2 linked regions of the Drosophila melanogaster genome follow. The protein of the gene in region 2 interacts with the protein of the main gene of each other region in a biochemical or structural test. Each region holds a gene or a part of one and is shown on either strand. Other genes may lie near its edges. The genes, in order: cer and CtsL1.

Region 1 (3,024 bases), 5.4 Mb from region 2:
TTTGCTCACAAATTACATAACACAAGTACGGGTGGCGCGTTTTTGGCCAATTCGTTGGTCTTTTTCTGTTGTCACATCACGAGCTGGCTGGCTGGGTTCTGTGTAGACCCGGTTGTATAACCACTCTTAAATCATTTCGTTTGCCACAGAGGAGCCTGGGTTTTCACTTCCAAAATGGGGACTACTTACCATGGAGGCGACTGCATTTTTGGCCAAAATCGATGGCACACGCATGATTCCGGACATGTTTGGCTGGGCTGTGAGGTTCTACTGCAAGATTCTGCAAGAGATTGGACCGAAAACGAGGTTTTACGCGCTTGTAAGATGGGGTGTTTGGTGTTGGTACAAAATAAAAACAAATAACTACGTGTATCGATGTGTCTATGTGATCGAAAAAGGAAAAGTTTACAAACTTTCAAATGTTGTGTGTGAACTGCCGCTCGTCGGCACTGCAGTTCGGTTCACTGACTCGCTCAATGAACGCTGAACCGGAACTAGTTCATCGCAGAAAGGCGTTAATCCGCTTTAAGTTCAAAATGTATATAGATACCGCGTACAAGCATACATATTTTTGGAATGGAATTTTACCATCTCAGCCGTACGTATTTATTTGCATATATCGTAGAGATAAATAAACCTTCGTTCATTGAACCAAAACCTAATGAACTGTTTTTCTCCCAGCCAAAGTGGCCAGAACACAAAAATCCCAAAATCTTTAAAATGTACAAAACAGCTGATTTATTGTTTATTTGGGGGTGGTTGAACGATAAAGATTTAAAAATTCAAATGCATATTTATAGAATTACAGAGAGATTAGTGTCTTTACAAAATGTCTATTTAAAATGAGATTCACTTGAGATTCTGTTAATTTGGCGGCACCTTTTTGCCACAACGCTGGGCAAATTCCTCAGGCGTGAGATCAGCCAAATGATTAATTCCCATTTTCCAAGTCACTTCGCCCTTCTCGAACTTCCGATTGTGTTCCTCAATCCGGGCTTTGGACTCGGCGTAGATTCTACGACGCATCAGATCCTCCTCTGCCTCGTAGTTCTTGTCGAACTTGGACTATGGTGGAATCAAGTGATTTCTAAATATTGCGTCGCTTGCTAGGACATATTGGGCCTACCTTGTACTCCACCCACTCCTCATCTGAAACCAGGGACATCTTGACACTTGTAATTTTGGTGACCGACTAAATTTCGTTTCAATTCTCAGGTTTTATCACGGTTTCGCACTGAGTCACAACATATAAACACAACAAAGAAACGATAATATATGCAGCTGATCAGAGATGCCACTTCGGTGAAAAACAAACATAAATAACAGTGGGCCCTCGTTTATGAAAACCGGATACTATTCAAATTCGATTTAAATCATATGCTAAATTCTCAAACATTATAAACATTTAATGCAAAACCATTGTTACATTTTTTGGAATGACTACTCAAAAAATAAATACAAATAAAAAAAACCTCTTTTCAAATACTTTTGAATTTTGTACAATTTTCAAGTTTTTATTTATTACGTGTTTACTTCTTCGTGTGTGTCGTGTTTTTTCTTGTGTATAATACGAATTTAAATATATATTTATATGCATTTTCTTACACTCTAAACAAATTTTATGAATAAACTTTCGGCTTCTCGTTTGCTTTTTTCAAAAGTTTTTTTATTATTTGCACAGAGTGAGAATATTGACATATTTCTAATGTTAATCTAAGGACAAAATTATACAGACTTTTTCGCCTTAATGACGCAAAAAAGTTGCTAGAAATAAGCTTCTGTCGTTGCGCAAATAATCAGTTTAATTATACTTTATATTTTGCCGTTTTTTTTTTTTGTTTGTTTGTTTGTCTAAGGCTCAGCAATGCAAGTATTATGTTGTAAAGAGAGTGTTTTCAATGTGGTGGTGGGTTTGGGTAGGAAAAGCAGAAACATTCGATTTATCTGGCATTAATCATCGGGGTTTTAATTTTATGTCAGTTAATTTGAAATGTAAATGCGTTTAAGTTGTGCCTTAAAGTTTTACATGCTATGGCAGTCGTATATAGTTAATTGCAGTATTCGTTATTCATCGATTTGAATATTATAAATGGAAAAGCGATTACAAATCAAGCACATCTACTTACAAAAGAAATGCTGAAATTTGATTCTTGGAGATAATTTTTGGAAAATTCCAACCATTCTCAGTGATTGTGTTGTTTCTGCTTTCCTCAGAGTAATCGCATGTTTTAATGCGGGCGTGGTGTATTTTTGGATTTTCGTTTTCTTCATAATTTATTGGTTTTTATAAATATATATATGTATATGTATGTATAAACAGTTTTACGTACATAAAAATATATAATTATTTATATAAAAAACTAATACAATTGCTGCATGTATACAATAATTATTTATTCGTTTTGTGTGCAAATTGTGGCTGCCCGGAATTTAAAAACAAAACAAAAGAACACAAAAACATAAAACGCGCTTTCACAAAACACACACATGCCTAGAATATCAAATTGTAGTTGTTGTCATCGAATTTATTGCATTTCTAAAAAAATATTGCATTTAAGTATTATGCATGTACCACGCTTGTACGTATGTGTCTAAAAACAAAAGTTTGCCTTTGTTTCAAACAAATCTTTGTTTGTCGTTAGAGTTGCCTGGGAATTTGTACCCTTTTTTATCTGTTCATTTGCTTTACCATGTCATCATGTAGTAAGGTGTGTTGCGTAGTTATTTTATAAGCTAATACATCTAGAAGATATTTGCAAGTTACTTGTTTAGGACAAAGCGGCGGTGTCGGATATTGCGTGTACACCTGCAAACCTCATTCTCGTTTATCATACAAATTGTTGTGTGAATTGCATTTATCTCTCTCTGTGTGTGTGTGTGTGTGGAGGGGAGGGTGTGTTGCCGTGGCCATCGTATAAATTAAAAATTAGAATTATATTATAATAGATATAAGCTGTGAATGCGAATTAAGGGAGGGTGAGGGGGATTTCCCCTTAGATGCATCTCGATCGATTTTAGCTGCTC
Region 2 (8,074 bases):
CACACTGACGTTTTCGGGCGTCTGCAAGGCCGATGCCCCACCGCCACCCGATGAGGAGGTGTTGCGCGACGAGGGCGTCCGGGAGCTGCGGAGAATATAGAAAGGAAAATATTGAAAAAGGGGGTGAACTCAAGTTCTGGCTTCATTCCTTCGATTACATGCTTATAAACAATAAAAACGATACCCTGTAAGTTAAGAAGCTATCTACTTGACTAGTTCTTGGACACTATGGCTGCAAGGGTTTAAATGCTCACTTCATTTGGCCCAGCAGCGAGCTGAGACCACCCATCTGGCCAACGCCGCCGAAGAGCTGCATCAGCTGCTGCTGCGACATGTTGTTGAGCATGTACTGGAGGTCGCCGTCGTTGCTGCCGCCGCCGCCGCGCTGGTGGGCGGATGGAGGGTTGTTCAGCAGCTCGTTGATGCGGCGGCACTGCTCGTCGTCCTTGTCCGTCTTGGGCTCCTGCATCCAGAAGAACATGCGGCGTGTCGATGACTTGAACTTAAGCACATAGACACGGCCCGTCTTGCACTGATCGACGCGCTTGTACTCGAAGTCATCGGGGAAGACGATGAGATCGTCCTCCACCTTGCCGGAGGTGCGATCCTTCCAGCAGAAGTGCATCAGGCCATCGTCACTCTGGGTCATGTAGACCAGGCCCTTGCGCGGATCCGGATGCACCATCTTGCCCACCATGTTCATGCGACCTGCGCGGAACTCCACCAGGTTGCTGCTGTTGCTGGAACTACCCAGTCCACTTTGTCTTCCAAACATGATGCGGGTGCTTCTTGAGAGCTGGCGAAGATTGGATGAAGAACGTATTGTAATTACGACTTTCTTTGGCGCATAACTCGAAAGTGTTTTATGGTGCCGTGATCGGTTTGGGGTTATTAGTAGTCGCTGCACTACTTACGGGATATATAATGCGTTTACTTTGTTGAGTTTATCAAAAATTCAGTGAATCGTCAATTCCCAATGACGAGCAAAATTTGTCTTCTTCTTACCTCAGCAGTGTTACCATCAACGGGTGAATTCTAACATTTAGTATTTCAAAACACTGTTGAACAAAATTCAGTTTAGACATTTGTTGTATAATTTAAATTGAGTTCGTTGAGTGACTTAGAAATCTTTCGATTGCAAAAGTAACAAGAGAGGTATAGTTTTTAGTTATTTAACACTCATTATTAAATAAACATAAACTAAAAAGCTCTTGCATATATTTAGGCTGACCAATTATTTCGATTTAGCGACTGAATTTGGCCGTTTTACACACAAGAACTGCATCACTGCCCACGCTGTTATCGATAAGCCGTCTGCTCAGGCAACTTCTGGTATTTCCAGAAGATTCGGACTGGTCACTCTGTCGGAGATTTCTTGTTTAAACAATTTCTGCTGGTTTTCATTAAACAACGAAAGGTCTTTGGGACTGGATCATCAAGAGCGACTTGTTAAATACAATCGGTTGACTTGCACATTAGTGTTGTTTCAGCCAATTAAAAAGAGTGCAACAACAGTGATAAATCAGTGAATTTACTGCATTCCTTGCGACGCAATTCCGAGTGGTAAGCAATATATGTAGTCTTTTTAGTTATTTTCGAGTTGAGAACGCAAATATACCTGCCCTGCATTAATGCCGATTAATTGCTTCGTATTGACTTGTTGAATCTAATTGCGTCATGTCTGTGTGGCGACTTATTTACACTTTAATTGCACTCCACAATAATCAACAGTCGGCATCTTCGTCTATGCCCGTTTTTATTGCCCCTTTTGCTTTGCGCTTTAGATTCTGTTGCGCTTCTTTGTTTAGATTTTGTCCAATTCCCCTTTGTGCTGACCCATTTTTCTAGTCTTTGTGGTTTTTAACTCACCTGATAGCCAGATGAATCACCTTGGCGTTTTTGAAACCCGTTTTCGCCCTCGAACTAGGCACAAATCGCAGAGGGCACAATTGGTAAATAACAACTTTTATCAAATGCCTCTCACGTTTCTCAAAATGGGCGCAAAAACAGCAAGACAATGATAGAAAAACAATAAGTGAAGCAAATCGCGCAAAAATGGCAGACTTTGAAAGCAATACGAAGCTGCGAGGCAAAGTGGAATGGCCGATAAGATAACGCATCGCCATCGAAAAAATAAAAAAAAACAAATATTAAACTATATTGTTTATCACAAAGCAAATGTCAATATATTTACAAACGCCCCGCAAATCAGTCAAGTTTTATAGAAATAATTTTTATGTCTCTATAAAGAGAATATTTTACGCTAAAATCGAGAGAAGCTTCTTTAAAGGATCAAATTTCTCAAATTTGAACCGTTATTTATTCTTTCATTTTCACTCTTTTCTATGCTTACAATGATATATTTAAAAACTAGTTTTTCAAAACCATGTCTGTTACGAATTTAATAAAGAATTAAAATAATATATTTACAAAGCTTCTATTGCTAGATCTCAGATTGCTTATAGTTTTATACATTAAGTTAGCCTCAAATAAATAAATAATATTAATAACCTTTTTTTTATTATAAATTTGCAATAAATTGCAATTTGGTGCAATAAATTCCATATTTTACCCAATAAATATTAAATATTTTGCAGTGATTTTGATCGTTAGAAATTTATTAAAATATTGCTTAGGCTCATGACAAAGTTGCTAAGATAAAACTAATACTTTAATAGCACAAATTATGCTAATTAACCACAATTTAATAGTATGAATCATGAACAAGTGCAAGAAACTGACTTTATTCACAACTTTCCTTTATCGCTCGAGCAGCTTAGAATATGTATTTTACTTTAATTCGAAGTTAGTGAGCCAGCCCTGATATTTTGCAATCTGGTTTAGTGGCTTCACGTGACCGACACTCCGATTGTTAGTTTGCTTACTAATTGTGTGATTTCTTGCAGATTCCAGAACAAATCACAATGCGCACAGCTGTTTTGCTGCCACTTTTGGCCCTGCTGGCGGTGGCTCAGGCCGTTTCCTTCGCCGACGTGGTCATGGAGGAATGGCATACGTTCAAGGTGAGTTTCAACCGGATCATCTAGGGATCATATTTAATTCGCCAGGCCGAAGAGGCAGATAACAAGTGTTCTCCGGTAACAAGGGCTTGATGTGTAATGATGATTAATCCATTAATTTTTTTTTTGGGCCTTTGTCTTCTGTCCGACTTTGTTTGCATAGTTGGACGCGCGGCATTCTTCCGTTTGTGACGATTCCGCACTTCTGACTTCTGAGTCAGCAGCCATTGCGAGTGTGAATGCACTGCTGCGCGGCTGCCTCAAAGAGACGGAAGGAGGATTCAGATAAGTCCAAAAGTCTAGGCTGTCGTCCAGTCACATGCCGGCTCACATGACCGCAAGCGGCAAGCTGGGCTGCTTTGCTTAGCCCATCCGTAAACATCGGCTGGATGGGCAGATAATCCAAGTCGTTGTGTCGCCCACTTTCGCTACGCTCGCGGTTCATTTCCCGCCGATAAGCCGTGCAAGACTCAAACTGGTCCACTGCCGGCCGACTGATAAGGCGCGGGTCGCATATTTGCCATCACACTTTTCGCAAGCCATGTTTCCTAATGCGACTTCGATTTTTGCCCCCTTCTATTGCATATATATGTGTGTCCATGGTTCCATTGATGATTGGGCCAATCATCCTTTGTCTCGCAGCCTTCACTTGCAACTTCGTCTGCTTATCAATGGTGGATTGTCTATTGATTAATTGAATGCGCCCCTAGTGTCGTCTAATTCTTATCGCCAACAGTCAGGGGTCGTGATTTTTTCCATTATTTTACTGAATAGTTCCGTGCCAAGCGTCATTAGCCCCAAATGGGGGCGTACAAATAATAATTAGCTGTTTGTGCAGAGATCTCATGTGATAAGGGGGATATATGTACATCTCTATATATGCATATTGGTTTAATAACTTTGGATATTTTGCCTTTGATGGTTTTATATTCACTTTTCGAATTCAAATTCAAATGCACCCGCATATGCAATATATGCATATAACTTTATTTCCCTTCCTTTTTTTATCTGCTGTTAAATATCATATTCAATTGAGTGACTCATTTGTTAGAGTAAGCACAGAGTGGTGTATTAAATTATTGTTTATAAATAACAAAGTCTGATCAACTGAAAGAATAGGAATCATATTTATGGAAAGAGTTACTCATCCTTAATTAAAAATAAAAAGAAAATCAACTAAACATTTGCAATTTCCCCACTCATATATTATTTACCTAACTAAATTTTCTTTGATCATCTAATTTAGTTTAGATTTAGTTTTCTTTTTTTTTTCAAAATAAACTCACAATTACTTTACATTTGCCATTTTACATTTCGAGACCGTTAGGTGTCATGTAGAATACTGCAAACGCTCGGTCACACTGCTGCAAACAGTGCTACCCATGCTTGCTTGGGGAATGAAAGGCGCGCAATTTAAATGTGATAACGATGCCAACCATTAGCTCTCACTGCTTATAGTTAGTTAATAAAAACGACATTATCTGTAATGTGTGTGCAGTCCAAAGTGCCACAGTTGTCGGTTGCAAATGCACAGCTGCAAAAGTCAGCGTTGAGCAACTGTGGCACTGATAAGCTCTAAAATTCCAGATTAATGCGTTTTAATTTAAGCAGCTATTCGCATAGTTCGGCAAATATTCAACAACAATATTTAAGAACAAGTCGTGCGGGGGGCCGCGAGCATTTTGGAAATGACGCGCTACAAATCGGCGTTGCTTATCAAATTGCCATTTTTCGCTGGCATTTCCGAGAGCCGAAAGAGATTTCTAGCATTAATTCCCCGAGTGACAAGTGCACAAACAAATCGGCTGCCGTAAATAAACAAGCTGGGAAAAATTTCGCTGACTTGCAAAAGCAGCATGCGGCTCTTTTCTTACATTTTTTATTAAAGATACATAAGTTTCTGTTTTTTTTTTCGTTTTTTTTTAAATCTGTTACTTCTGCTAACCGGTTGGAGCAAACATATTTGAATAGCTCGCCTGAAATCCTTATAAATCAAAATGAAACCGGTTCGCCTTTTTGAGCAAACCCACAATGCGCGCGCTGCAAAACAGAAGGAAATATACGAAAAAGCATAAGAAACAAGAAATATATAGAGTACGCCCGCCTGCCATCCTCCAAATTGGTTGGCCTACGTAGATTGGGCTCTCATTTCGATTTCGGCGATACGAAGAAAGAGTGTAGAGTGTGTTGTGTGCGTGTGTGAACTCGGCTCTTTTTCGCCCCGCCGTCATGCGATTGAGTTTGCGTTTGCGAGCGGACCACCACCATCACCACCACCACCACCAAAAGCGAAGCAGCCAGCTCTGTCGTATTTTTGTTATTCCCGAACCGACGCTCCACGCCAACGGAACGCTCGAGCAGCCAGCGGCAGGCAGTAGCAGCAGCAGTGCAGAGCGCAATATATAGAACATTTGAGAGAAAAGAAATAAAAGGAGCCAAGTCAGACGGGGCCCCCAGCGGTGGTAGTAGAAGTACGGAAAAGCACGCGCGTCATCGTAAAAAACGTGCTACGAAATCGCAGGGAGACGGGCGGTAATAGCAAATAAATTACATAAAAACCACGGAGGAGCAATCACAGCATAAGAATGACCGATACCAGTGCAAATAATTTGGATGTATCGGTGGATGTGGTCTGGCCGACGATAATTGTCCTGGCCATGCTGGTCATAAATGGCTTCGTTTTCGCCTACATTATGCGCAAGCGGCGGGAATACAAATGCCAGGAGGAGGAGCTGCAGCAACAACAACAACCTGTTCCACATTCCTCCTATGCGGCCACTTCGACAACGGAACGGCATGCGGATGCGGATCAGGAGGACGATAGCTGTGCCATCGAGATGGAGCGACTGTAGGGATGGAGATCGCACTAGCTAAGCTCTCTGATACTCAACTACTATCGTCCAAGCTTCTCAACTGCAACGAAGTTTCCTAAGCCACATATGTAGTATATCTAGATTGATAGATACAAAACGTATACGTCGAGTGCCTGGATATCACATCGGATCGCACGTGCATTTAATTACGGTGTTTTTAAGTTGTTAACTCTATCTGCATATATCGCAAATTCAAATTTTCTACAAAAGTATACAATAAATGTGTGAATTTTATCATGCGGCAACGAGAACCAACGACGTTTGCAAGGAAAATCAATAGGTCAGTGTGCCGGGAGGCGCCTCTTTTCTGCCGTTACCACCTCCTCCCTCGAAATCACAACGGGCGGGGTTTCATTTTGCTGCAAGACTCGAATTCGATTCAATTATGTCAATTATAGGAGTCAACCACGGACCAGTGGACCCCATCCGGTCCATTTGGGGCGACAATTGCTGATGCTGGTCCGCTTTGATGTCCAAAAGTAATTACACATGCATGTTTCTCACATGACAGCGCCACTCGACTGTTCAGTTCAATGTGCCAAGTACCCTGGAATATTGCAAAATCTACTAAGACTTGTGGTGAGCCACTTAAAAAGCGATTAGGTTTGGGTTTATACCCATATTTCACTGAGAAAACATGCCACTTTGAGTGCGTTGAAGAGTCGCAAAAAAATAACCAGTTTAGCAATAAACACTTTTGGAAAATGCATTTCAGTTTAGCATGTTTGCTATTTGGATATTCGTGAGCAGTAATAATGAGTTTTGTTGAATAATTCTATATACTTAACTTAACTTTCATAAACTTTTCGATTCTATGCAAAGCCGCTAATTTGGTATTCAGACAAGAGGAAGTCAATTTTTATTCACAAATTTCACTTTGAATCGAAAACTACCCCCATATAGTGGCATTTGCCGAATCTAATGGATAGCAACCTAGTCGACTTCTTGCCCTGGCCTTTCAATTCCCTTTATAGCTATCATTTGTTTAGCGTTCGTGCTATTTTCGTGCTGTGGCTGTGTCAATATGCGGGTCGGACTAACAAACAACCCCGAGCTGGGAGAGGAGGTCTCTTATCCACGGGACCACTGCAGGCAGATGGAGCGCATTTCCTCGTGCTGGCCTCGCTTCTCCTATTCCTACCTGCAGTTTGGCTCGTTTGTTTACTACCTGGAACATTAACACCCGTTTCAAGTTCCTGTCGTTGGGCAATCGTTAAACACAATTTTATGACCATGTTTTATAGATTTATAGAGCTTGCTACTGTGGCCGTTCCTCTAGAGCGTTTCGCTCGTGCCAGGTTGACGGCGCTGTGATAAGGTGTAATCTGCAGATTAAGAACTTTTGCCTCAGCGATCGTAAATCCATTTTACGTAAAACATTTTATTTGATTTTTAATAGAGTTCCCAAAAATGCGTCTAAAAAGTTAACTTTTCATTTGGTTGGCTTTATCTTATCTTGAAACAAGTACACGAAAGTCAATCGATAGTAGCACTTACCTTTGATAAGAGTGCATTATCTAACTAATACTAATACTTTTCATTATGCAGCTGGAGCACCGCAAGAACTATCAGGATGAAACCGAGGAGCGTTTCCGCCTCAAGATCTTCAATGAGAACAAGCACAAGATTGCCAAGCACAACCAGCGATTCGCCGAGGGCAAGGTGAGCTTCAAACTGGCGGTCAATAAGTACGCCGATTTGCTGCACCACGAATTCCGTCAGCTGATGAACGGCTTCAACTACACTCTGCACAAGCAACTGCGGTAAGTTGGGATCGTTAAGGATTATAATGTGCACATATTCAACTTTGCATTCGCTTTCAGTGCCGCCGATGAAAGCTTCAAGGGAGTCACCTTCATCTCGCCGGCTCATGTGACGCTGCCCAAATCTGTGGACTGGCGCACCAAGGGAGCTGTGACCGCCGTCAAGGATCAGGGACACTGCGGCAGCTGCTGGGCCTTCTCCAGCACAGGCGCCCTCGAGGGTCAGCATTTCCGCAAGTCCGGTGTCCTCGTCTCGCTGTCCGAGCAGAATCTGGTCGATTGCTCCACCAAGTACGGCAACAATGGATGCAACGGCGGTCTCATGGACAATGCCTTCCGCTATATTAAGGATAATGGAGGCATCGATACCGAGAAGTCCTATCCCTACGAGGCCATCGATGACTCGTGCCACTTTAAC

The links.
Region 1: of the proteins of CtsL1 (region 2) and cer, one has a biochemical effect on the other in vitro, tested with the Drosophila melanogaster proteins (one study listed by BioGRID).

What each region holds. Positions count from the first base shown.
Region 1 is NT_033778.4:19,395,498-19,398,521, forward strand, and holds cer (crammer), read right to left. Parts: upstream 1,276-3,024; 5' UTR 1,166-1,275; coding exon 1,127-1,165; exon of another isoform or gene 1,066-1,126; coding exon 865-1,065; 3' UTR 718-864; downstream 1-717. Other genes in the region: SdhA (succinate dehydrogenase, subunit A (flavoprotein)), read right to left, coding at 190-246.
Region 2 is NT_033778.4:13,959,314-13,967,387, forward strand, and holds the start of CtsL1 (cathepsin L1), read left to right. Parts: upstream 1-1,867; 5' UTR 1,868-1,880; coding exon 1,881-1,952; intron 1,953-2,906; coding exon 2,907-3,023; intron 3,024-5,339; exon of another isoform or gene 5,340-5,605; coding exon of another isoform or gene 5,606-5,872; exon of another isoform or gene 5,873-6,173; intron 6,174-6,291; exon of another isoform or gene 6,292-6,382; coding exon of another isoform or gene 6,383-6,472; intron 6,473-7,441; coding exon 7,442-7,656; intron 7,657-7,716; coding exon 7,717-8,074. Other genes in the region: Rpn13 (regulatory particle non-ATPase 13), read right to left, coding at 1-85, 255-775; CG42806 (uncharacterized protein), read left to right, coding at 5,606-5,872. UniProt on the Drosophila melanogaster protein: Important for the overall degradation of proteins in lysosomes. Essential for adult male and female fertility. May play a role in digestion.